Mytilus edulis: one gene and its partners. The protein of the gene in region 1 purifies or fractionates together with the protein of each later gene. This does not show direct contact. Links are inferred from orthologs where the notes say so. Each region holds a gene or a part of one and is shown on either strand. Other genes may lie near its edges. The genes, in order: proteasome subunit beta type-3, F-box only protein 7-like, proteasome activator complex subunit 4-like and proteasome activator complex subunit 3-like.

Region 1 (7,083 bases):
TTAATGCACTCTTACTTAAATTTTTCCCATCAACATTTTATGAACCTCTTACACTATGCTCAGAACGAATCAACCAAAACTCGCAGACATGGATCGAATTTAGGCAGTTAGTCACTTACCCTACTATAGATTAATGCTCCTAATTATAACTTGGACAATTACATTTTTTTGGTTCCGTTTAGAACTACGCTTGGTATAAGAGCAGTGCCAACAAATTTCATCTGAAGAGCATTTGGTGCGTTTATTCACACATTATATCCCAGCCTGGGTCACAGGCACTTGTCTCAGGATTTTTTTCATATGTACCCTAATATAACACATATTAAGGTATATACTATATAGGAAATTTTTTTTCTGAGACAAGTGCCTGTGGTTTGGGTCTAGTCAACAAAGCCATAGTGACATGTAGTCTAGAACTTTACGTTATTTGTGGAATGAAGTGTGAATGCAGTTTTCTTCTGGTAGTATATGTATCGTTGGGTTGGTGCCTTATAAAGTTTCGAACGTTGACATATACCACAAATCTACATGGGCATTCATTCACCTGTAAGAGTATGTACAATTTTGAATTAAAACATTAAGAATTTATACATTTTTTCATAATTTAAAAAAAAAAACTGCATGTACATGTAAATGTACTCTCAAATCGTATTTTCTTGTTAATTCGACCTGTTGATACTGTTTATAATGCTTTTTTGTCATTTTTTATTTATACGGATCTTGTCTGTACACCAGCTTTGATTATTTGTAATATCTTCACTTATTCTTACAACATTTGTATAAACTTCAAGATTATAAAAAAAACCGGTTTTTTTCTAAAGTGAACATTGATTGGTTAAATATTTCTCAGTCATGTCCTGTTTTTGAATTTGTTTGTTAGCTTTTTGGTCATGAATGTTTGTCTCTAATATTTAATTAACTGTGCATTTGTATTCAGATATCGCAGATCAAATTTATTCGTTCATTGTTTAATCATACGTTTTTTGATTGAGTTAAGTCTGCCAATTGATATTTTATCGTATGTTTTTCTTTGTTGTGATGTTATGCTATTGTTTCAGAAAAAGGGAGAAGGTTTGGATCCATTAAAACGTTTAATCCCGCTGCAAATGTTTGCACCTGTCCTAAGTCAGGAATCTGATGTACAGTAGTTGTCGTTTGTTTATGTAATATATAAGTGTTTCTCGTTTCTCGTTTTGTTTATATAGATTAGACCGTTGGTTTTCCCGTTTGAATGGTTTTACACTAGTAATTTTGGGGCCCTTTATAGCTTGTTGTTCGGTGTGAGCTAAGGCTCCGTGTTGAAGGCCGTACTTTAACCTATAATGGTTTACTTTTTAAATTGTTATTTGTATGGAGAGTTGTCTCATTGGCACTCACACCACATCTTCCTATATCTATGTAGTATTAATTACACAGTCACGCAGTAGTTTTTCTAATATAACAGAGTGGAATTTGATTTTGTGCACTAAAAAATGTGTTAGGATTTATTGATGGGGCCGAATTTTGTGTTGGCTGTTGGTCGGTCGTAGTTCAGGGATGATTATGTCCATTTTGTATGGGTTTTCAAATGACCTTATTTTGTACATAACAGAAGTTAGCTTAATTACGAACAAAAAAATCCATGGACGCAATTTCAATTCCAAATCCAACAAGCAGCCAAGGACTACCAACCTATTATAGAGTACTATAATAAATAGGGCCAATATATTTAATATACCATATAAAATATATATATATGTACGGAATGATTGTAAAGTTTTAAACATTTTCGTCTAGCCAGGGATTTTCTATACTAGGCTAAGTACTTAGTACAGAAAGTCTCTGTTCTAGCAGGTATATAATCTCACTGAACTAATTTCCAAAGTTTATCGGACAATGTTTGACTTTTGTAGTTTGGGTTATCTCTCAAATATAACAAGCAGTAGTTCAATTTTATATGATGTATGGAACGAGTGAAAGGTGTTTATGTCTGTCATACTGGTTTCGTATGAACTTTGCCTCATTTCCAGGCTAAATGGTGAATAATATAATCAAAAGTTTATAATTTGTCAGTATCAGATAGTAAAAGATATAGGTCAACTATATTTGGTGTATTGAATAAGTGTAAGGTGTACATGTCTGTCTGGTACGGTTCATTGACATATGACCTTGACCTCATATTCATGGTTCATTGGTCAATGTTTAGATTTTGTGGTGTGATCTGCTGTTTCAAATGTATCACCCCTTCGTTAATATTTTACAGATTCTATCACGAGTTACTCAACTGTTAGTTGAACTTTATGGAATATCCGTTTCACAAATAATAGCAGATATGTTCCTTATGTTGCACAACTACAAGCCCGTTCCCTTTTCACGAATGTGACCTACCAAATTAGACTTATTACCAGGTTTGTACTAACATGAGCTACACTACGGGTGCCAAATATGGAGCAGGATCTGCTTACCCTTCCAGACAACCTGAGATCACCCTCACTTCTTGATGGGATTCGTGCTGCTTAGTCTTTATTTTTCTATGTTGTGTTTTGTGTATATTATTGTTTGTCTGTATGTCTTTTTAAGCAAAGCGTTTTAATTTTTTTTATGAGTTTGAATGTTCCTTTGGTATCTTTCGCCCCTCTTTTTTAGCCGGCAAATAGGGCCACTACATTTTGTGTACGGAATGTTTGTATGATGATACAAGTATGCTAATCTGATGTACAGTAGTTGTAGTTTGTTAATGTAATTTATACGTGTTTTTTTATATAGATTAGACCGTTGGTTTTCCCGTTTGAATGGTTTTACACTAGTTATTTTGGTGCCCTTTATAGCTTGTTGTTCGGTAAGAGCCAAGGCTCCGTGTTGAAGGCCGAACATTGACCTATAATGGTTTACTTTTATAAATTGTTATTTGGATGGAGAGATGTCTCATTGGCACTCACACCACATCTTCCTATATCTATCTACTGTCTGACATGTTTCATCTGACCGAGACCTCATTTTTATAGAACAAAGATATTAATGTCAAGTTTGGGAGACAGATTTGTAAAAGCAAATTGCTTGTTTCTGAATCCTTAATATTATTTCATTGTATAATATGTTTAATGTTGATTTATCTGAATAAATATTGTTTAAACTAATGTCAAGTTTATGTGATACTTATAGTAAAATCTTTATATTACATGAACCTTATGATAAGTAAAACAGGCGAGATATTTTTGAAGTATGTGCACTGTTGTTATATATGATACCCAATATATACATTCCTTTTTTCCAATGATTCGTCGGGCGTTGATTGGATCCAGTCAATTTTAAAAGGAGTTCCAACGCATGCAAAGTCATATAAAAAGGGCACAGGGTTCCAACGCTTTGTCCCACTACAAAAAGGATGAATAATTAACCATTAATTTAATTGTCAAACAAACAAAAAAAGGGGGTGTCCAACGTTTTTTTAAAAACATTTATAACAAATTCATAACGTAAAATCGAATACCGACATTTCATTCAGTGATTGATGATCGAAACTTTGGAAGCTTACCGTCCGCCGATCGTGAAAACCTGTAAAGTAGACAGGCCGAATGATGGAGAACGTTAATAATGAATGGGATTGTAAAAAGATTTTCTTTTTTTCATATTTCCATACGTTTCCATCTGTAAAGGATAATGATATTATTTTTGACTCATTGTGAGATATTCATAATCCTCTAGTTTTAGCAACGTAGTGCCATTAAAAATTTTGCTCAACCCTACTTTCTTTTCATAATATTATAACATCTATTTTAGAAGTTATTTTGGAAAATCTTGTAAGATCCTTGTTGGTCTGTGTAGAATCTAACATTTTTCAATTCAATTTAAAAAAGGGTTTAAAATTTTTAATAGATTTTTAAAATTTTGATAAAATTTTAAATATCAAAATCCAAATTTTAAGATAATGTTAAATGTTTTCCAAATTTTCACCAAATAATTGAAATTTAAATATTCTTAATATCGTTTTTAAATGTGCAAACTTTAAAAGTAATAAACTTAAGAGAAACACTTCATATGACAGTAAGAGTTATTAAAAATGGGTACGAGATTGAAAAGGTACGAGTCGACATAGATCCAACATTTTTTCTATTACCTCCCCTACCATAATTCTTCAGAGTAAAATTTTTAGAGATTTGTGAATTTGCAGTTTTCACCGGGCAACATTTTCACAATGGTAAAACGATTGTTTTGAATTCCACAAACATCGAATATGATTTTCATTGCATCTTTCGTTTTAGTTTATTCAATCCGTGAACTAACATTCAGAAAATGAAAAGTTTTGCAGCAAGGAAAAAAAAAACCACGTACAATAAAAAAAAAAGGGGGAGGGGTGTTACACTTGCAGACACTTCCAAATAAATCAATACTAATCACAACATTTATTATATGAGTGGAGCTTCTCGAACCTCTTTCCAAACTGAAGTTCATTTTGGCACCATCTGCCATGTCTGCAGGAATGAAAACAAAAATAAATAGCTAAAACCAAAAAGTTGAATATTTTCAGCGACTTAAAATGCATTTAAAATTTAATTATCTAGTTCCTGTCATGCATTACAACTTTTTGTTAAGGTACACAGGTTTGTGTGTGTATATATAGTAACCAAAAGGTTATTTCTCAACAGTAAGATTATTTGATAATATTTAAAAGAGGGATGAAAGATACCAGAGGGATAGTCACTCATAGATTGAAAATAAACTGACAACGCCATGACTTAAAATAAAAAGACAAACAGAAAAATAATAGCACAGAAGACATAACACAGAAAACTAAAGACTAAGCAACAAGAACCCCATCAAAAACTGGGGGTGATCTCAGGTGTTCCAGAAGGGTAATTAATATATATATAAGCAGATCCTGCCCCACGTGTGGCACCAGTCATGTTATTAGGGCTTCTTTAGTTTAGTAGGGCTTCTTTTGCCAAGCTGTCTTAGTGTCTAGGTACCTTAGTTAAGTGTAGAGGGTCATCTAGAGACAAGTAGCACAAATTTAAAATATGTTCAGATTGGGTTATACAATGTATATACATGTTCAATGTATATATGACCATGTATATACATGTACGGTTGTAGGTGAAGCACAGAGTTCCAAACTCCTAATTAGCAGAGAAATTAGTTTCTTTTATTAAATGCCTTGCCCTGTATGCAACTTTAATATTAATTGATTATTTTACAGTCTTCACCAAAAACTTTTTCAACTAAATATATAGCTACTACATTATTTACTAGTCCGAAGACCAATATTCTGACATTTTTCTTATTGGGCCAAACAAAGTTTTGCGAAAACTTACTACTCCTAATGAAATTTTACTAGTCTGGGGCATCTGACTAGTGGCTAAACATGCAGACTGATTTGAGCAAAAAATTATTTAGTTACGCAAAATTTATCAAAATGAATAAAAATGCAATCATTTGTTTTGGCAAAAAGTTGAAAGAACTTTCTGCATAACCTTGTGCAACAGGGGTTCATCATATAAAAAAAGAACAAAGAATTATTAAAATATATATTAATATTAAATAAAGTGCATACCAATAATATATTGTATATTTCTCGCAAGTATTTATTTTTTGAAGAATAAGAACACGATATAGATATATAAAAGTGATACCTGTATGCCATTTTTTGTTTCAGAAATTTAAAAAAAATTTGTTGTGTAAACACAACAAGTTTTGCATGAATGTAGTTTGCTTATACATGTATTTCTTTTACTTTTTCTTTTTAGAGTATTATGGAATATAATGGTGCGGCTATTGTAGCCATGAAAGGTAGAGATTGTGTAGCTATTGCTGCTGACAGAAGATTTGGTGTACAAGCACAGACAGTGTCAACTAATTTCCAGAAGATATTTGAAATGGGTGACAGACTGTACATAGGCTTACCTGGTCTGGCCACAGATGTACAAACAGTGTAAGTTAGGGAAGTTGTAGTATGAACACAATGTACATTAAGTTAGGAGAGTGGATGAACAACACTGTGTTTGTTTAGCATGTTTATAAAAATGAGATGAGACGAGTATTCTTTTATATTAAAGAAGAGATTGTATAAACAATATATGTGTAGGTGATCACAGGATAGAACAAAGTCTATGAGAGCTACTTTTGCAGCCTGTTTTTAGTGCTATACATCGTAACATGTAACTGTAAAGAAATTTTTTTTTGTTTAAAACATCATTAAAGAGATGTAGATAATTTTTTAAGGGAAAAGACATTGGGTTCTAGATATAAGAAGATGTGGTATGAGTGCCAATGAGACAACTCTCCATCCAAGTTTGCATATTTATAGACAATATTTTGTGAGTCCTATCATCTGTTTGCCAGACCTAATTTGAAAAAAAAAAATTATAGATGGGTCACAATGAACGTTCAGAGTGAGATTAGGGTATGCCTTAAAGCCTGGCACAGACAATGACTAACTATTTATAGAACAACCATATTCTGGCTTTTCGGAATCCTCTGGTTTTATCTATTTGAATGCCTTAAAAAAAATTGCCCATTGACCCCCATTTTTGGGATACGATTGCTTTCAAGCAATCTGTAGACTTATAACGGTGGCTCAGAGCAATTTCCCTCACGTCAACCGTTTTATTCTAAACATTAAGGAACATCTCAGATTCTTATGATTGTCTTGCTTTAAAAGGTTAAAACAAACAAAAGGATTGAACTGAATCAACTTTCCTATAATGTTCTTTTCATAATCTTCATGTTTGATAATTCCCTTGACTTCGATGCATGTTTTTAACAACACGGAAAATCAGAATTAAGCAGTATTTATATTTAGTGTAGTTATAAATTTAGAAACACGTCAGAGGGAATTCCCAGTTTTGATAAAATGCGAGAGTTCTCTGAATACCGATAAATCTATTTCTGTCATATAAGAACTGAAGTGGAGTTTTTCTTATATGTTACCGTTATGAAACTGATATTTGAGATTGTACTTCCATAAAGAAATTGAGAACCATCTAGGTCGTTTAATAAGCATTTAATATATCTTGCCCCAGGGTTTGATTTGGAAATTATGCGCATGCGTATAGTTTTTTTCTTGACTTTAAGGGGTTTTAGATTGAATGGTTGCTCTGGATTCCC
Region 2 (6,980 bases), on another chromosome or scaffold:
ATTTATAGTGGATTTAGAAACAAGTTTTTCAATTTATATTAATCCCTTTCCACTTTGCAGGTGCAAACAATCTCATTGCTGATGATCTCTGTTTCTGCAACACATTATTACCCAATGATTAGTAGTCTCAGTGACTGCATTTGTAAATTGGTCTAAATAGCGATAATTATGTCATATTGAAACCTATCTATACATATATATATATATATAAAACGTCTGAATAATAGTCAATGATTTTTCCCACGGCGCTGGACCGTTACAATATGTATATATCTTTTATCTTTTTATCAATATCAAACTTTAGATTATCATATATACCATGTATACAGAACCTGTAAATTAAATGTTAACAACACTACCACACAATATTGTGATGGAATTGCTTTGCTTGCATAGCTAGTGGATCCTTGGCCAGTTCTAAACCTCTTTAGCATGGTTGGTTAGAGCACTGACTTGAAACACTATTCAGACAATATAATGGAGCGAGGGGGACATGTGGACTAATCACCATGTGTCAAAGTTTAAGTACTGTCATGACTGTATCAATATCAAGAAATCTAGAGATCTTGGGTTTGAGTTCCGAAGGAGACAATGTGATTTTTTAATAAGAATCATTCTCTCAGTCTCAGACTTGACTCAGGTTACAGGACAAAAATTACTTTTAACAATATACATAGTCTTAGTGCACCAGTTTAATATATATATAAGTTATAACACAAATAATCATGACAGTATAGCAGTCGTTAAATGTAATACAACACTGATATTAAACTTAATGACTGGAAACACACTAGAGTCGCACCAGCATATAAAAAGGGGGATAAGCATAAACCAGTCAATTATAGACCTATCTCATTAACTTGTATTTGCTGCAAGTTAATGGAACACATAGTAACATCACATATTATGAAACATCTCGAAGCAAATAACATCTTGTACGACCTCCAACATGTCCAACATGGTTTTCGGCGCTCTCGATCTTGCGAGACCCAACTTCTCTCCTTCATACAAGAACTTCAATCCAAAAAAAATTCAAATTCAAATACACAAACAAACCTTGTAATAATGGACTTTGCGAAGGCCTTTGATAAAGTTCTGCATCGTCACTTACAAATTACACTATTTTGGCATTAATGGAAACACTTTAAACTGGATCTCTGCATTTCTCTCCGATCGAACTCAAACAGTTGTTCTGGATGGAAGATCATCAAGCACAGTACCAGTCACCTCTGGGGTTCCGCAAGGTACTGACTTAGGTCCAGTCTTATTCTTGGCTTATATTAACGACCTCCCAGACTACCTTACACATACAGTAGCACACTAAGATTATTTGCTGATGACAGTATCATATATATGCCAGTTAAATCCCAGATTGACTGCCTTAAACTGCAAGCTGACCCTGATGCAGCTGCAAAATGGGAAGGAGACTGGCTGATGGCCTTCCACCCAGACAAGTGTAATGTTCTCTCTGTCACAACTAAACGTCAACCTCTACAACAGAATTACACTCTTCACAACCATACTTTAGAAACTGTTACATCTGCTAAATACTTAAGCATCACATTACAATCAAACCTTAAATGGGACAAACACATAGATGACAATATCTCGAAAGCCAACAAAACACTCAGCTTCCTTCGAACAAACCTGAAAACATCTAATCAAAACATCAAGAGCCAGGCATACCAAGCACTTGTCTGTCCCAAACTCGAAATACTCTTGCTCGGTTTGGGACCCCCACACTTCAGAATCTATCTCAAAGATAGAGATGGTCCAAAAGAGAGCTTCTCGGTATGCCTGCAACAGGTACTATAATCAGTCAGGGGTGGTACTTAAACAAGTATGTATATATGGAGCGGGCATAATGGAATATATTTTGATTCATTTGCTTAATACTATGCTATAAGTGTACTCTTGTTATGTCAATTCGATGCTTTATTTGTAGAACTCTCAGTCACGCTTTGCCATCTTTATTATTTAAGCATGTTTCCAGATCCCACGACGAGGACGTGGTTCTACCTTGGGGTCCAAATAATTAATTTTTTTTAAATTATTTTTAGTCATTATATAGTAAAATGTACGTTTAATGAGGCAATAAACAAATAAAAAGATGAAAACATTCACATTTCAATTTTCTTTTCCTCTTGTTTGATTTCAGTTCTTTGTATTTCACAATTTGTGTCAATATTTTCAGGACAATGATGCACAAATAATTCATTTTGCGAGCTTAATATATATTGCACGAAAAGAGTTTTAAAAAACAAATTATAAGATAAATAATATGTTCTAAAACACAAGGAAAAGTAATCTCATAATACAATAATTAAACGTAATACTGGCTGTTAAACATAATAGTAGCTGCGGAACTGTAGCTCTTAGGTCCTTATGTTATTTTTTGACTATTTGCGGACCGCAAATATTTTTGACTATTTGCGGACCGCAAATAGTCAAAAAATAACATAAGGACCTAAGAGCTACGGTTCCGCAGCTAACATAATAGTAGTCCAAATAATTATGACGTCTTGAAAGGCTATTATAATTTTTTTCTTTGACGCCTTATAATAGCCTTTCAAGACGTCATAATTATTTGGACTAACATAATAGACACATGATAGATGATAAAATATTATGTAAATAATGTTTCATTTTTTTCTATCAATTTTAACTTTCTTGTCGCTAAAATTATTTTCTTTTCTTGGCCACGTATGCACCAGTTATTAATCATCTTTATTCAGATGGAAATCTGGAAAACTTAAAGAAGAAGAGTAGGCAGGTAGGAAAACCCTTTAACTTTAAGTAAGAAATCTGTGTTCAAAACGGAACAATTTAAGGAATGACATAAATAATTAACCTTGGAAAAGTGTTGTCAAACAATCCAAAAATAAACTGACGTAGATCATTTAGTTTACACTCATTGTCTATGTCTATAGACTTCGTGATTTTGCGGTTTCGAATTCTAATTTTCATCATTGTTGTTGGTTGTGAATTCGAACCTTTCGTTGTTTCAAACTGGAGAGCTAAGTTTAGCATGGGATTACTTCCCTTGTGTTACAAACGGTTGCAATTTTTAATTGAATTATCCCCCTTTGGTCGCAAACTTACATTTTGATCATCATAGAAGATAGAATAGAATAGAATAGAATACTGTTATTTCCCAAATTACAGGGCCCATAAAAGGCATAAAATCAGATACAATTGATTTACATAATTGGTAACAACAACAATAATAGAGGCATATACATATATATTTGGAATATAAGCATTGGTCAGAATCAAGCTAAAACCCACATATATATTGTGAATAAAAGAATAATAAAATTACATTATACATGTATATGTATTCATTCTCAAATTATTTACTTGACTTAGTGTCTGTGTTCATACCTGATCTCCTTAATTCTTATTTTAGTGATAAATAAACAAAAAAAAATAGAAAAAAAGTCGCTGGATATATAACGTAAGGGTACCCAAATTGCACCTATTTAGAAAAAAATAGCAACGGAAATCTTACTACATAAGACTCATCAGTGTCGCTCATACCAAATATTTATAAAGCCAAACAAGTACAAAGTTGAAGAGCATTGAGGATCCAAAATTCCAAAAAGTTGTAGAAAATTGACAATGTTTATTTGCACATACACACTTATATAATCTTATATCAAAATGTCAGTAAGATTTCTCTGTATGGCATGATCAAATGATATATGTATACAATAAATCTGCCAACTAAAAAAATATATTGAAATTATACTACAAATATTACGGTTCTTTCAAAATGTAGGCATAGTTTCTTAAAAGGGGGATTAGTATATTATGCAGTGATGTTATAATGGTTGTCCAACCTCAATCGTAACAGCAAAAACAAAATTAAAGTACATGGAGGAAAAAACATGGAGGAAGATACACATAGGGCGTAATATGTACCAATGAGAAGAGTTGTGCCATAAGGCCACAAGATTTAAGGAGTATTTGTTAGTGCAAAACCAGTTTTAGTTTGTTAAACTTTCCATTTGTTAATGAGAACCAGTTTGAAACTAGTTTCGAACCTAAACTGGTTTGCCGTTTGTTATTCTCAAACCCAAACTGGTTCCAGAAACTATTCAAACCATGTCCAAGGGTGGTTTGTGGTTTCGGTTTATGGTTTAAAATGGCGGCAATCGGTTGAAGTGTGGTGGTTGAAGGTGGTGGTTGTGTAATTTATTGAGAGCCAGTTTTACAGATTTTACAGATTTTTACAGACTTGATAGTGTTTTAATGTGAACTTTTATTTCCTGTATTGCCAATGAGAACCCTGAATGATGTTTTAGCAAAGTGAAAATACATTTACTGCCATTTCTCGAAAGAAAATGAGATACACGAGACAAAGAAATAGCCGACTCATAGTCGCCATCTTGGTTTTATGAAGAAATTTTAAAGAAGTTTTTAATTAACAGTCCTTTTACCTTTTAAACATAGAACACTTTTAATATATAGTGTACAGTTTTAAGAAAGACAATTGTTTTATTTAAACATTTTTTCCAAATCACTGTTTTTGAGTAGATACAACCAACAGTAAATTCAAAATGTCGAGAAGGTCAAGTAGAGAATTAGTTCCAACTAAAATATATACACCCAGCAAGAGTATTCAAACTACCAAGAATTATGTATTAAATGAGAAAAGAACTTTGAATAAAATTAAGGAAGCTGCAAATAGAGACATTGATATTCAAGCAACTTTGAAAAGGGGGAATTTAATCATACAGTTTTCATCGGCTGCATTTTTGCAATTCAATACATGCTTCGACCAGTATTTTAGTTCAAACCAAAGTTTAAAACTAACAGTACATGAAAGGTTCGATTTATCAAAGAAATTATCAGAGAGGTCAATTTCATTTGCCGACGTTAGTAATCCGTCAAAGCAGTTGTATAGGGTGAACATTTTTAATACAACATGTCGTATTGAAGTGAATGGGAAACAATTTATGTCATTCATAGATGAACTTTCTAAAATTGCATCGCATATGAGTAATGATCTAGACTATAAACATCTCAACACCAAAATTAAAGAGCAATGTGATTTTTTATTATCATCAATTAATAACGGTCATAATCCGTCAGTTGTAGTGGATAATACAAAGATTAGTCAATCTAAAGCTGTTACAAATGCTGCCGCTGGTAGTAATGACATTAAGGACCCTAAAGTATGCCCTAAATGTACTAGAAATTGCTTATCTAGAAGTGTCTGGTGTAATAGGGGTGAACATTGGATACACTATAATTGCGAAAAACTAAAAAGTGAAATGATTAACATTTTAGAGAATAATTCTGATACAAACCATTATATATGTTCAATTTGTGATATAGACTCCATAGATGATAAGCAAGTATTATCTGTGAATTCTCCCACTCATACTCAAGTATGTGATAGTATCAACTTACCTTTGGTCAACATGATTAATGAAGAATCTTTTTTAGAAGGAAATGAAATAGAATCCGATACTTCAGTAAAACATATAGATAAAGATCAAGTAATACCCAAAGTAACTTTTGCTCAATCTCTTTTATTGGAGGAATTTCCAAGGTCTTGTGCCTTATGTTTAGAGTTGTTAAATACTGATGAACAAATTTGTGAATTCTGTGATCAATCTTATCACATAAAATGTATGGGAAAAGAAAATAAAATATGTCTAGGATGTGAAGCGACACATAGTCAAAATTCTGAAAATTTGCATTTGAATATTGAAACTTCAGTAAAGAAGGTTAATTCACCTCGTCCAACTTTAGTCTGTGTAGACAAAAACATTACTGATAAATCTAAAGAAAATCAAGATAAGGATAATGAAAATAGTGTGTTGAAACAGAAAGAATTGCGTCAATTAGAACTTAAATTAAAGAAAAAAGAAGAAAGTCTGAAATTAAAAGAGTTGTCAGTGAATGAAAAACTTAAAGAGAAAACCAAGCTTCTTGATTATCTTCACCAACTTGAAGCCCGAAATTTAGAGTTAGAACAAACCATAAAAACAATGAATAGGAAAATTATTATATTGGAAGAAAATCAAAATAACTCTTCCCTGCGTAATGAAAAATCAGAATCTGGAAATTTAAATAGTCATAGGGATAATAGTGAAGATTTACTGGTACAAGTAAGGAATAAAGTCACAAAATTTATTGTGGACAAGATTGAAAATGAATTGGATAAATTATCTGACAATATTACTGAAAGCAATGATAAATTAAAGGATACACAAAATCATGTTTATCAACAAAATGTGAAAGATAACTCAGAAAATCAATATTCTCAACATAATTGGGATTACCAAAATTATTATCATCAATATCCATATTATTATGATCATCACAACTCATATTATATAAATAATTATGGAACTGTAAATGAGAGTCATAGTGATTCAGAAAGTAGATGTGATTATGAAAATCAATGGTTTCAAGATACGTCTCCGGACAATACTCAAACTGTTACTCATTCGAATCTTATTGATGTATTAGCGTCAGACAACCAAGTAAGGACAAATTGTGATTCACAAAGTAATCAACCTAGGAACTATTTGGGACAAAATTTATATTTCCAAAGTAATAACATTGCCAAAACTTTACATGGAAATAATTTTTTATGGAAAACAAGCCTCAGTGTCCAACCGACATAATGGAACAATTAAATCATGAAAGTAGAGAGGATGATAAAAAGAAAGAACTTAATATTTTAACTTTTAATTGTAAAAATATACAAACATGCGGTATGTTTTTTGATGAACTTTTTAAATCAACAGATATATTTTTAATTCAAGAACATTGGCTGTTTAATTTTCAACTGAATTTACTTAATGAACTTCATCAAAATATTTGTGGAATTGGAAAAGCGGTCGATGATAAAGATCCAATAAATCCAACCAATTTACCTCGTGGTTATGGGGGAACAGGAATTTTATGGAGAAAAGACCTTGACAATTTTATTAATCCGTTAGATATTGGAAATGATAGAA
Region 3 (7,615 bases), on another chromosome or scaffold:
ATTTTCTGTATCAAGTTAGTTAGTCGGATAAAACAACCGTACGATTGACAAGATATCGACACGCAATTACGACTACATCGGTTACTGTAGTTTTGTTCCTTTGTGGTTTATAGACATATCGTTGTTATTAATCGGGAAAGAAGACAAAATGGCCGAACGCAGAGAATTGATACTCTAAATTTAAAATCGATGGTGATCTCTTATCTAGCGGAATAAAACTTTAATATCTATGAATTTGAGCATTTTTATACAGCATGAACATAATATCAATTTTTGATTTTTTTGCGAAGTTTCCCTTTAACACATTCTAAAACATGTCTACATACTTCTTCCTTAAGAATATATATGTTTAGGTATTTTGAGTTATGGGAAAAGGTAAAGAGGGTCTTAGTAGCAGTGTTGGTAGGGTGCCTTGGTCATCTTTTTCTGTTTTCTTTATTTTTAATACAAATTTTCACTGTTGCTATATCCTAACATTGTGCATTTACTGAGCACAGCTGTTTTGTGCTGTATTACCATTAAGCACAGTAGAGGTAGAAAGGTGAAACTGGTAAAGTGTGTCAGACCATAGAAACAGAATGAAGCAGGACACCTTTCAATACATGCTGCATATAACATGTATAAAGCTTAACTGTGCTAAACAATGATTTAAAAACTTGAGTGACACTGTGCTGCTTGACAAGTTTTTCAGCAAGTAGAAAGATAGAGTTCTAAATGGGCTAATTATGTAGTTCTTGTATAACCAGTGATTTCAACAAATAAACACAATGTTTGATTGATATCTTTATTAAAACATGCCCTTTTCATATTATCATACCCCGCGTTAAATGCCCTTTTCAGGATTGGCACCCTGCCCTTTGAAATCCTAGCTGGAACACTACTGTATCGTCAGATCATATATTTTAGTATGACATATGAATTCATACTATGCATGTTTTTTCAATGGAAATTGCGACTACAAAATGCATTCTAAATAGCATGGAAACTCATAATATAAGGATATTATATACAAATGTGCACAACATAATACTGATTTGAAAAATAATGAAGGCACTGGCTACGGTTACATGGAAATGTAACAATAATAAAAATATTATTGTTCCATTGGAAACTAATTGCCGGAATGCAAAGTTGGGTAAGGAACCGATTAATTACGAATGTAACAATAATTATGGAGGCTACGGTTACATTGCGTTATTGTTACATGAAAAACAGCAATGTACGCTAGATTTATTAAACTTAAATCTTCTATATAGTTTTGTTGCTTAATTCATTCATGTCTACTAAATAATACTTGTTATAATAATAAATAATAAATATACTACTTCAAATTAGTAGTGCCAAAGGCGAAAAATATGAGTTCAATGGTTTGTTGTTGATAACTCGGGCTGAGAAAACTGTTCACTTTTAAGTATTTACATGTAACTGCACATCTACTCGTATTACTGTCATTATACTTTGAACAAAAGATGAAGAGATTCCCAATTTGGTTTGGGTGAAGAATTTAAAACTTGCATGGGATGCGTTTGAAACGAAACTGAAACAATATCAAGACACAAATTTCATACAGCTATACAAACGCACTTACCAAAAACTGATACATCAAAAGCAAAGTTTGCTAACTGTGAACTAACACTGTGAACTTCTGTATACATGTATAAAATTGAGAATGGAAATGGGGAATGTGTCAAAGCGACAACAACCCGAACATAGAGAAGACAACAGCCGAAGGTCACCAATGGGTCTTCAATGTAGCAAGAAACTCCTGCACCCGTCGGAGGCGGCCTTCAGCTGGCCCCTAAACAAATATGTATACTAGTTCAGTGAAAATGGACGTCATACAAGACTAACAAAGGCCATGCAAAGGCTCCTGACTTGAGAAAGGCGCAAAATTGCGGCGGGGTTAAACATGTTTATGAGATCTCAACCCTCCCCTATACCTCTAGCCAATGTAGAAAAAAAACCCGCACAACACTACGCATAGTAAAACTCAGTTTTCAGAATCCATGGAGGACGTACTATAAAAAAAAATTGTATGTTATACTTGTATGTATTGTAAATATAAGATAATGTCTTCAACTTTTATTATTTAGTACATATTACTAGTCCCATCGAACATTTCTGTTTTTCATGTAACAATAACGCAATGTAACCGTAGCCTCAATAATTATTGTTACATTCGTAATTAATCGGTTCCTTATCCAACCATGCATTCCGGCATTTAGTCCCCAATGTAATAATAATATTTTTATTATTGTTACATTTCCATGTAACCGTAGCCAGTGCCAATAATGAAAGTGCCATAAATGAAGTTTCATCAGATCAAATACATGGTCATTTAATGGATTGCAAAAACTTGAAAAAGTTTTGTATTATATGTAATATACTAAAAGGAACGAAACTGTATATATAGATTCGGTTGTCTCTATTTTGCCAACTCCAAATAAAGCTTATTTATTTTAATTATGGCAAGATGGTGTAGGATTTGACAATGACAGCTCTGAATTCGAATGAGATCTTTTTTTGCATTTAATCGTTAGGTAATGCTAATTGTGATTTCTTTGTTGAAAAAAAAAATAGATCATAATCAAGTCATATATTACCTAGTTAATTGTCCACTCCAATGGTTAGCACCAGTTTTAATATCTCTCAAGGCAACAGATTTTCCAAGGTTGGCCTTGATTTCCGCAAACACAGCATTTGATTCAACATCAAGATTGTCTGCATATGGTAAATACTTGTTATAAATTTTCTCCTTTTGTGGGAGAAACCCCAAAATCTTTTCTCTTTCGTCCATACTTGGAGAAAAGCTGAAAATTTGATACTATTCAGGATGACTTGCTACAGTTGGATCCATTTTGGGTTATTTAAGAAAGACGAAATACAATTGGATAATCCCTAATGATTGATCCAATCAAAAATTGTTTAAGAAAGAGATCACCTGTGAACAGGAACGACAATCCCCTTCACTTTCATTTTCACTTTGCCAAACACAAACTATAGAGCTCAAAATAACCAAGTCATCCTTCTCTGAAATATCACATGACAGCAATGTCAGATTCTGGAAGATTCTCATCGGTCGATTACGAAATACACGGAAGTGTCCAAGGTATGAATTGCCTATAGATAATTATGATAAATGATTTTTATGGGATACATTATTTTGGGGCCAAGTTTTCTAGTCTTTCTGGTACTAGTACATGTAGATCTAAATCAGGGTTCAAAAGTCAGATTAGGGAACTACCATTTGATTTTTATGGGGGGGGGGGAGGGGGGGCTAGGATGAAAAATTTTGTCCTGCATTGTTTTAGCTGTAATCTCTGTCCTGCCTTTTTATTTTTCACTCTAATCGGTCCTGACTTCTTTTTTTTTTTTTAGTTTATCCTGTCTTTTTTTTACCTAAATTGTCGTTCTGATTCTTTTTTGCAAGTGTCACATCCTGCCTTTTTTTTTTACTCGAAACTCCTGTCCAGCCTATTTTTTTCAAATTTCATCCTAGCCCCCCCATAAAAATCAAATGGTAGCTCCCTTAGTTTGATTTCAAAAAATAAATATAAGAATAAGATATATTTTATTTCCAGTTAAAAGACCACAAGGGGCATATAGAGAATAAGAATAAAGTGCCTTATCACATTACAATACATACAGTGGGTCTCATTGGGTCTAAGCTTGACGCGGGATTGCCGATTTTTTGTAAGTGTGACACATGAAAGTCAAATTATTGTGTCGGGAAAACGAGAAATGAGGTCTAGCGGGACCCGGGAAATGACAAAAAAATGAGAATTGCTTACGTACATAGTGTAAGCGGGATACAGGAATCTGACAAAACAGTAAGCGGGATCCGGGATCGGAAACCCCCAATGAGACCTCCCATACAAGTACTTAAGATTAGACATTAATTTAGAGACATATTAGAAAACAACACTGTTTAACACTATTAAAATAGTTTAAAGGCCAGGACAGAACCAGATAATACAATCAACATCTTTAAAATATTAACCATTCAAAATCATTTGCTACTCAAAATATGAATACATGTATAAGGATAAAGAACATTGATTAGCATAGATAATATAGAATTTAAATACACATTGATTTACAATACAATAAGACTGTAAATAAGACCATGGTTTATAGTTCATGTAATATGATCATGTATATAATATATTTTAATTTATGTGAGAAATTAATACATCTAAATCCAGTTCTGTCAAGTTATGAAGCAAATGGGTAAGATTTGGCCAAAATTGTAAAGAGCAAAGAGATCAACCAAAGTAGTTGTGCACAGGTCATATGCACACATGTAGTGCAGTCTTCACACTTAACCACAACAAGTGCTATAGCCATGGCTTGCAGAATTGCTTGGGGACTTGTAAAATTCTTCTCTACAAGCCAAAAGCACAGGTGCTTGAGGACAGGATCCTGTATGAGCCCCAAATAGTCCCTCCCCCTTTTTTAAATTTTTTTTTTTTAATCATAAATCTCAGATTTTTCTATACATATCCCTTATTTGTACTTATTTGTACCATATATATAGAGATTAATACATGGCCTTTTCCATATCAGCCTGGGTATCATCCAGAGACCCCCATATCAGCCCGAGACGGAGTCGAGGCGCTGATATGGGTCGAGGGATGATACCCAGGCTGATATGGAAAAGGCCATGTATTAATCGCTTTATCATATACTTCCGACAATAGTTTTATGTAAGGCAAAAAAAAAACACAAATGCAACAACTAAAACAGTCAAAAACTTTATAAAGAAGTTAAGTTATAAATCCAATATACTACAACTGTCAATGCAACCAACAGCATCACTACCTCCATATACATATATGTACATTTTATGGTAACATTTCCTATAGAGGCATTTTGAAACATTGAGTAGTTGGAAGAGTTTCATGATCATTATTACTCCATGTTTGTTGTACTATAAAATGATTCATAATTGCCAATGGTATTTGTTAGTAAGTACTAAACTATCCCCACAAAACTGTTCCCGTAAATTTTGACGTCGTCATCAATATCTGACGTCACAATGGAAAAAATAAACAACCGATACCGGAAACACCGGAAGTAACTTGCACGAGAAGCACTGTTATGGGTTTTTGCACGAGACGCCCCTGATATGGGTTATCAGACCGGGCTGATATGGGTTATCAGCCTGGGTGGGAAATTATGGCTTGTGTACTTCCGTTCGTTACACATATGCAAAAGCTATCATATTAATGCTAAGTATATGATAAATACTAATATACCATATTTATACTCTAAATATGCATGTTTACTATCAACGTGAATCTCGACTATAGAGCGAGATTCACGTTGATAGTAAACATGCATATTAAGAGTATAAATATGGTATATTAGTATATATGGTACAAATAAGTACAAATAAGTGATATAGATAGAAAAATCTGAGATTTATGATTAAAAAAAAAGGGGGGAGGGACTATATGTGGCTCATACAGGATCCTGTCCTCAAGCACCTGTGGCCAAAAGAAGCCAACTAAAATTTTCGTAATATTGGCTTTGGGCTTATGGATTCAAAAGTTTATCTTGAAGACTGTTAAGTGTTACTCACACATTTTCCTGTGATCTATTGATTCCCAGTAGTTAAGAATTTAATTACCAATTTGCAAGTTCTAATTAATATTTGGCAATTTACATTTTTTTTTATTATGAAGAAAAATTGACAGGTATATTGTTGCATTTTGTTTGAATGAATTTTTGTAATTGTTTAAGGAAATTTGAGCTATATAGTTTACATTTTTGTCATTTTGTCTCTAATGGATGGTTGTTACATTTGCAAGCACACACCTTTAAATTTTTCCTGTATATCTTTGATTTGAATGTAATTACAAATGTTTCTTTTATAATTTCAGGTGTATTTTTTCGACAGGTAAGTTAAGATGTTGTATGTTAAGCAGAAAATATTAAGTAGAAGCATAGTAATGTTTTATTGTTTATCAGGTTAAGATCTATCTGCCCTGAAATTTTCAAATGAATCAGACAACCCGTTGTTAGTTTGCTGCCACTGAATTGGTAATTGTAAGAATTTTGATGCTTTTGGTGATGATCTGAATATTATTATAGATAGAGATAAACTGTAACAGCAAAAATGTTCAGCAAAGTAAGATTTACAAATAAGTCAACATGACCAAAATGGTCAGTTGACCCCTTTAGGAGTTATTGCCCTTTATAGTCCATTTTTAACCATTTTTCGTAAATCTTAGTAATCTTTTAGAAAAATCTTCTCCTCTGAAACTACTGGGCCAAATTAAACCAAACTTGGCCACAATCATTATTGTGGTATCTAGTTTAAAAAATATGTCCAGTGACTTGGCCAATCAACCAAGATGGCCACCATGGCTAAAAATATAACATAGGGGTAAAATGCAGTTTTTGGCTTATAACTCAAAAACCAAAGCATTTAGAGCAAATCTGTCAGGAGGTGAAATTGTTTATCAGGTCAAAATTTATCTGCCCTGGAATTTTCAGATGAATTGGATTATCGGTTGATAGGTTGCTGCTCCTGAATTGGTAATTTTTAGGAAATTTTGCTGTTCTTTGTTATTATCTTGAATATTATTATAGATTGAGATAAACTGTAAACAGCAATAATGTACAGCAAAGTAAGACCTAAAAATAAGTCAATATAACCTTTATAGTCAATTGTTAACAATTTTTATAAAATTTGTAAATTTTCACTAACATTTTCCACTGAAACTACTGGGCCAAGTTCATTATTGATAGAGATAATTGTAAACAGCAAGAAATGTTGAGTAAAGTAAGATCTGCAAACACATCACCATCACCAAAACACAATTGAGGTATGAATTTTTTGCTAACACCATTTTCCATTTTTTTTGTTGGATCAGTAAATTTTCTTTGTTAACAGATCCACCACAACTTGTGATAACACAATGATTTTAACACAAATTTCTATCATGTTTATTATTTTTAAATTATTATTTGATGCGTTTTAATATAAATAACATATATTTTATTAGTGATTTTATTTCCGCTCTCTAGTGTGGAGAATTGTCTCATTGGGAAAAATACCAAATTTTCTTTTTTATATTTAGGATGAAACTGGACCCTGTAGTTTTGTATTGGTAATATTTGAATTTCTACTCCTGCTCATATCATGCTTATTCACACGTATGATATTTGAAGTAATAAAATAAAATAGTTGAAGTACTCAGTATTTATATGAAAGATCCACAAGATTTGCCTTAATATAGATTTTAAATATGAAACTATGACACTTTGAATTCAGCTCCTCAACATTGCTCAATGTATATAATGATTTTACCGATTATAATATTTAATTTTAACTGTTAGTTTGTTCAATTCTGATACAAAACATAGTTATATTTTTTTAACTTATGTTTTGTTTTGTAGAATGTGTATAATTATAATATCAAAATTATTAATTAATTTAATAATTATTTTCAAATAATCTATAAATCAAAGTTGTTGGTTAAATTTGATACAATATTCCATTTTTAGCTCACCTGGCCAAAGGGCTATTGTTATCAGTCTAGTTAATTCACTGGGACCTTTAAATGTCTTGTAAGACACAATGATTAGTATTCCTGAGTAAAAGAAT
Region 4 (6,835 bases), about 36 Mb from region 1:
TGAGGATGATCCAACAAGATAAATAAAGTAAAAGCAGGATAAAAAACATCCTTAATTTGATATAAGTGTGTACATGTCTTATATCCTACTTAATTAACATTGATTTCAATTATTTTATTACATATATTTTTTAAAATATGTTATCATTATACTTGAATTTCAGGACATAACACTTTTTTTATTAATGTATGCTGATGATATGATTTTGATGTCAGAATCAATCCAAGGCTTACAAAATATGTTAAATACTTTATCTGGTTATACTGAGAAATGGGGTCTTTCAGTTAACACCAAAAAAACAAAGATAGTAGTTTTTCGTAAAGGTGGGAAAATTAGTCTTACTGAGATATGGATTTATAATGGTAAACCATTAGATATTGTAGATCATTTTTGTTATCTGGGTGTGTTATTTCATTATAATTGTAAATTTTATATTACTCAAAACCACTGTGCTGAACAAGGCAGGAAAGCTGAGTTTAGTATGAGGAAAAAGGCATTATCCTTATACCTGAACACTGTTACTTCTATAAGTTCATTTGACACTTATATATGTATGTAGTATTTTAATGTATGGTTGTGAAGTTTGGGGTGTTCATAGAGCACCAAATGTAGAAAAAGTTCATTTGGACTATTGTAAAACATTACTAGGTGTCAAGAGGTCCACTTCTAATGTAATGGTATATTATGAATTAGGAAGATTTCCATTGTTATATGAGCGAAATTTTAGGATGCTCAAATTATGGACTAAAATTCACGGTAGTGAAAATTGTATTATAAAGTCTTGTTACAAAGAACTAGTAGCAAATAGCAATAAATGTAAAAACTGGGCAACTTGTATTTAAACAATTTTATATGATCTTGGTATGAATTATTATTGGGACAACCAATGGGTACTTTGCTTGGATAGTTCATTTTTACAATTAACAAACAACGAATATATGATCAAGCTAAACAAGAGTTGCATTTCACGCTTGAAACATCACCAAAGTGTAGATTATATAAGTATATTGTGTCAAATGTAGAATTATAATTTTATTTACAAAAATGTATTCCTGTAATAGCTCGTAAATGGATAACGAGAATTCGCCTATCCTCACATAATCTATGCATTGAAACTGGTCGTTTTTATGGAATAAGTAGAAATAGTAGAATGTGTATTATGTGTGATAAAAATGTAGTAGAGGATGAATTTCATTTTATTTTACAATGTACAAATTATAATGATATACGTAAAAAGTTTATCAAGAAATATTATTGGACTAGACCATCAACTTATAAATTAATACAATTGTTTTCTGTTGAAAACACTAAGGAACTCTGTAATTTAGGAAAGTACTTACTCTATGCATTTAAGTGCAGGAATAATATTTAAGACCTATGTTTATTATATGTAGTCTGAAACTCACAAACTGTATAATATGTAACTGATATTTCTGACGTTTGTTATTTATGTGTATGTTAATGCTATACAACTTGTAAACTGTATATTTATGCATATTATACCGATAAACTGTATTGTTTAAGGTAAATAAAGAATAGAATCCTGAATATGCATCAGACACAAAGAAATTAAAATCAATCAAATGTTTTCAAAGAACAAATAACACAATTGCTGTAGTTTGAAAACAAAATAAAGAAATCAATCTTAAAAATTTGAGCATATAGACTTTTGAAATCAATGGTAAAACTCTTCAAATCAGTTTACTTTATACATAGAACTTCTATTGGAAAATATTCAATAAGTCTGGACAAATTTTGTGGTGGAACATTTATTCAGATAAGTGTTTTCTGCACACTTGCCTGAAGAACATCAGGTATTGGGATTTTCCCTTTACCTGAAGAACATCAGGTATTTGGAATATCTGTTACCTGAGGAACATCAGGTATTGGGATTTCCCCTTTACCTGAGGAACATCAGGTATTTGGATTATCTCTCACCCAAGGAACATCTGGTATTGGGATTTTCTCTTACCTGAGGAACATCAGGTATTGGAATGTTCTCTTACCTGAGGAACTGAGGAACATCAGGCATTATAATTTTCTCTTACCTGAGGAACATCAGGTATTGGGATTTTCTATTACCTGAGGAACATCAGGTATTGGAATTTTCTGCACTCTTACCTGAGGAACATAAGGTATTGGATTTTTCTCTTACCTGAGGAGAACATCAGGTATTTGGATTTGCTGTACACTTACCTGGGGAACATCAGTTATTAGAATTTTCTCTTACCTGAGGAACATCAGGTATTGGGATTTACTGTACACTTACCTGGGGAACATCAGTTATTAGAATTTTCTCTTACCTGAGGAACATCAGGTATTTGGATTTTCTGGTCAAAGTATGTTGATGCCACAGAACTAAAGTGTTGTTTCTCCTCTTCTCCTTCCTGTTGAACATCTCCATTAGCAGAATCATTCTTCTCCATTACATCTCCATTCCCAGGATCAGTCTTCTCAATCACTTCTGATGAATCTGCCATCATCTATTACATCAGATCTAAATTAGAAGAAAAAAATGTCATTCCCTACTGTGTTCAGTGATTAAAGTTAAAATTTAGGCATAGTAGCAAACAGCTTAAGTTTTGTAGCCAATATATATAGTTCTATACAAAAAAAAGTTGAAATTGAAGTAGCCCACACTGAATTTTAGGGGCCATTGGCGAGTGGGCCCTGCTAATTTTAAACCCTTGACTATTACATCTGCATCCAAGATAACTTTAAAACTAGATATATGGATGATGCCCCATTCTGCTCTGCCTTCTGCACCCAGTATTGTTCCTCAAACTTTATATTTGACAAACAGTGCATTTAAAGTATGCCTGCAACCTCTTATTTTAGAGGTTTTCATAAACATCCAAGCAATGTGTTCTCACTGGAGCTGAAAAGCTAACACATAAACAAGTTTATCTTTCATACATGTGGTCATTATAACAATAAAAAGTATTAAATTAAAAATGGATAACAATTGCAAAAAAAGGCTTCAATAAAAATAAAATTTAATTACCTTTTTAAAGAGTAATTAATTAAAACTTAGAAATGTAATTTACTACAATTAATTTCGAACTGTGATAAAATACAAGTACTTTAGAAATGTATTTAATTATGAAATTAAACGAATACTTTTGCAACTTAATCATTTACAATTACAATGGCTTTTGAAAGTCAATTAGTTACAATTACAATTTTAATTAATTACAATTACTTTTGCAACTCAATTAATTACAGTTTTGAATACGAATTATTTTTGCAATGTAAATAATTACTTTAGAAATAAAGTCGATAATTAATTACAATTTCAATTAATTCAGAAATTATTTTCTGTATACAAAACTGATTATTATTATTAATGTCAACCTGTCAGAATGTAGTGTGTAGTGATGTCCGGTAATAGGTGAACATTGCATAAAACAAAATCATATGAAAGTCAAAATAATGAAATTAAAAATTCACATGTAGGGGCCTATCTAAAACTATTAATACATCAATGACAAATACACTCCGTTTAAACCTGATGAACTAGCGTGAAGTGTTAAGTACTAATGTCCTTATGACCAAAAATTTTTACTATACAAATCCTTGTTATGACTGACAGTCATGATACGACACTCAAAATAAAAATAAAAATACATGATAATTTGTAATTTGTCTTTTGATACCATTAAAACATAACAATACCTGAATAGCTGAATTTAAATCACTATATTACATGTTGTCGAGATTTTTACTAGGTAGCAGCGCCAGTTGAATGCAGGATCTACCTTTGTACATGCAGACGGGCACCTGATCGGGTGATATAATAATTACCTCCCCTTAATTAACTCTTTCAAGAGAAGGCCGAAAAAGTCCTTAACTCATCTGAGACCGCATTGGGCGCTCAGAAAACATATTTCTCAGAACAAAATGCCAACTGATGGTAAAAAATCTGCAAAACAAAGGGAAGAATTGGACAAAAAGGTTGTATTAATTTGTGAACTTTCAATATTTTATAACATTTTGTCAAATTAGTCGACAGTTTGATCAAATTATTAAAATTTCTGTCTACAAACTGAACAGCTGAAGCTTATAAATTTTCATCATTTTTAGAGAAAGATGAGTTTTGCTACTAAGTGACCCTTACCACTGCTACAACACTGAAAATTCCCAAGATCCCACTCAATTTGACTATGTTTTTATTTTTCAGAACATCAAATTCAGTGATCTGGAAGGATTCTTCTCTATGTCTATGCATATGCCCTGGCTAGCCCCCCCCCAAAAAAAAAAAATCAATGGGCCAATTTTAGAATTATCAGACCATGTTGTTGAATAAGTACACCATAGGTTTATAGCAAAAAACTTGAAAATGTATATTATAGCAAAGTCTAAAGAGGTACTTGCCCCTAACTTGGTATGAGTTTATATAGGATCTGCTTACCCTTCCAAAGCACCTGAGATCACCCCCAGTTTTTGTTAAGTTCGTGTTGCTTAGTCTTTAGTTTTCTATGTTGTGTTTTGTGTACTATTATTTGTCTGTTTTTTTAGCCATGGCGTTGTCAGTTTATTTTCTATCTACGAGTTTGACTCTCTGGTACAAATGTATCTTTCGCCCCTCTTTTAAGAATGACAATCATGAAATTTAAAATCACTCAGAAATTATAAATTTTAGTTGCCTACAGAAGAAGTTATTAGATAATTCATAAAAAAAGGTTAAATATTGTAAATAACATTTTGTTCTTTTAATATGGCAAGAGTCATAAAATTCATTATTATTTTATGGTTTTGACTAAAATCTTTACATTTAGACATATTTTGCATGACTGTTGGACCAAATACCGACTGTAAACATACCTTTTTATATGTAGCCTTATAGGACACACAAAACTACCAGCCAACATTGTAACTTAGACTGGACCTGTCTGTCCCTTTTCTGGATAACCAAATTGCGTACATGACATGAAAGCAGGTCAATATCAACTCTAGCTTGTGTGAATTTATGTAGGGTTTCCCCTGGGTCAATTATTTTTTTCGCCACCTCTTTTGCCAAAACAATATATTTTTTGCCACTTTATTATCTTTTTTCGCCAAGTAAGACAAATATATTTTTTTTCCAGCCCCCCTAAATAAGAGTTTGACCCATTGCTGTCTATGATTATTCTCTCAAACTTGTTTTAGAGTCTACATTGTAATGAATAAATACTAAACATTTACCTTTTAAAAAAAAGAACTTTATAAGGAAAATGATTATATTTTGAACAACTTTAAAAGAAGGGGGCCCACTTACTTTAAAAAATAAAGAAGATATATGACCTGCAATATAAAAAGTTCTTGGATACCTGAAAGATGTACAGTTTTTTGGGAAAGTTTCTTCAAAATTGAAAACATTTTCTCTTTTGTACCAAGAAGTGTTTTTTACAATTTTGTCACTTGAAATTGATTCTTCATGTAAGGTGTAGTCATTAAATTGAAGGGTTACTCTCATTCGAGGGGTTGTTCTCAAACTTTTGAATAGATTTCTTCATAACGACTGTTTTCTTTTCTAGACCATCATAAAAATGTAAAACTATGCTTGAAACATGTGTCACTGATACGACTTTAAAGTACCCACTCAAATCAATTATCGATATCAAAGTTAAATGATTAAGTTTAAATCAGAGACCTTTATTGCTTTTGTACATTTTTCGTCATAACATTTTTTTTTCTTTTCTGGACTATCATTAAAAGAAGGGTAGTATCATCAAAATTTTGCTTCAAACACGTGCATCGCAAAGTGGCAAATAATCCTTTATGTAACATGTGACAGGCGCCATTTCACCATACCATTTTATCATATAATTCAATCAACACCTTTATTAATTAGTCCAGTGTTCTCCCCAGGCCGTTTTAGCGTCGCGGTACCGCGACGCTATATTTTTTCACCGTGATGGTATAATAATTCCCGCGACGCTATAATTATTTTAAAGATGCTATTTTACTTGTCCTCAATTTTGAACTTTCATCTATTATCGATTATGATCATAAAAATTATATCACCTTTAATTGTAATCCCTTTAAGTCGGACACTAAAGGCAATTAAGAGATTGAATAGCCAGGTGTTAATTGCCCTCAGGGTGATAACTGTTTGGATGCGAATATCCCAAGCTGACACTTGTGACATGACTAAATTAATACCACGTGTCAATCACCAATTTCGACATGGAAAAATGCAGTCACAAAAACAATTCGAAATCTATGTTTTGTATTACGAAATTTCAAAGATTAAAACGATTTTTTATTTTTTAAAAGGTCGTTTATTTGTGCAACTCTCCAAAAAATACTTTCTTTCTCTTCCGGTAATACGAGAGCGAGAATTTTGGTTTTGAGCTAAAATAAGTTTTATACTTCTTTAAAAAGTGGTCATAATTGGCTTAAGTTTATGTTTAATTCATTTAATGCATTAAAAGCGTCTTATTCATTCACAATCTCTTGTCAAACAATGTTTATTCTCGGACTCATTTTCGTAAATTTTTCTACGGCCGCCATTGCACATTTTTGTGTAAATTACGGATCGGAACCGGACCAGATATGTCAAAAATCCGCATTTTCACGATAATGACAACAGACGGACGGTAGACAGAAAAAATATACCAATAGAGAAAACTACGCATTAATAGACTATTTGTTAGATAACTTTGTTAAAAATACGTATCATTTTGATGTAAAGATAAGAAATAACAGGGACTAATTCATTCAGTGCCATGAAACAATGAATTTCATAAACATGATAAAAAAAAAAGTATTTAAATTGATATTTTTTTGCTACTTTTGCTACTAGTACTTTATCTTTACTTAATATAATATAAAAAAAATAGTTAATTTTGTG

Evidence for each region.
Region 2: the proteins of proteasome subunit beta type-3 (region 1) and F-box only protein 7-like purify together in Homo sapiens (affinity purification with mass spectrometry; 4 studies listed by BioGRID and IntAct, counting the BioPlex papers as one, with this or other methods). This does not show direct contact. The link is inferred for Mytilus edulis from reciprocal best matches to the Homo sapiens genes PSMB3 and FBXO7.
Region 3: the proteins of proteasome subunit beta type-3 (region 1) and proteasome activator complex subunit 4-like purify together in Homo sapiens (affinity purification with mass spectrometry; 3 studies listed by BioGRID and IntAct, counting the BioPlex papers as one, with this or other methods). This does not show direct contact. The link is inferred for Mytilus edulis from reciprocal best matches to the Homo sapiens genes PSMB3 and PSME4.
Region 4: the proteins of proteasome subunit beta type-3 (region 1) and proteasome activator complex subunit 3-like purify together in Homo sapiens (affinity purification with mass spectrometry; 4 studies listed by BioGRID and IntAct, with this or other methods). This does not show direct contact. The link is inferred for Mytilus edulis from reciprocal best matches to the Homo sapiens genes PSMB3 and PSME3.

Annotation. Positions count from the first base shown.
Region 1 is NC_092345.1:69,632,437-69,639,519, forward strand, and holds the start of proteasome subunit beta type-3, read left to right. Parts: upstream 1-4,083; 5' UTR 4,084-4,174; coding exon 4,175-4,177; intron 4,178-5,723; coding exon 5,724-5,908; intron 5,909-7,083. UniProt on the Homo sapiens protein: Non-catalytic component of the 20S core proteasome complex involved in the proteolytic degradation of most intracellular proteins. This complex plays numerous essential roles within the cell by associating with different regulatory particles.
Region 2 is NC_092344.1:4,233,485-4,240,464, forward strand, and holds the start of F-box only protein 7-like, read right to left. Parts: upstream 3,015-6,980; 5' UTR 2,971-3,014; coding exon 2,852-2,970; intron 1-2,851. Other genes in the region: putative leucine-rich repeat-containing protein DDB_G0290503, read left to right, coding at 4,563-6,644. UniProt on the Homo sapiens protein: Substrate recognition component of a SCF (SKP1-CUL1-F-box protein) E3 ubiquitin-protein ligase complex which mediates the ubiquitination and subsequent proteasomal degradation of target proteins and plays a role in several biological processes such as cell cycle, cell proliferation, or maintenance of chromosome stability.
Region 3 is NC_092346.1:24,122,500-24,130,114, reverse strand, and holds the start of proteasome activator complex subunit 4-like, read right to left. Parts: upstream 3,028-7,615; 5' UTR 2,798-3,027; coding exon 2,604-2,797; intron 1-2,603. Other genes in the region: acylphosphatase-2-like, read left to right, coding at 3,043-3,109, 5,886-5,902. UniProt on the Homo sapiens protein: Associated component of the proteasome that specifically recognizes acetylated histones and promotes ATP- and ubiquitin-independent degradation of core histones during spermatogenesis and DNA damage response.
Region 4 is NC_092345.1:106,000,998-106,007,832, forward strand, and holds the start of proteasome activator complex subunit 3-like, read left to right. Parts: upstream 1-3,806; 5' UTR 3,807-3,900; coding exon 3,901-3,954; intron 3,955-6,835. Other genes in the region: natural resistance-associated macrophage protein 2-like, read right to left, coding at 2,304-2,483. UniProt on the Homo sapiens protein: Subunit of the 11S REG-gamma (also called PA28-gamma) proteasome regulator, a doughnut-shaped homoheptamer which associates with the proteasome. 11S REG-gamma activates the trypsin-like catalytic subunit of the proteasome but inhibits the chymotrypsin-like and postglutamyl-preferring (PGPH) subunits.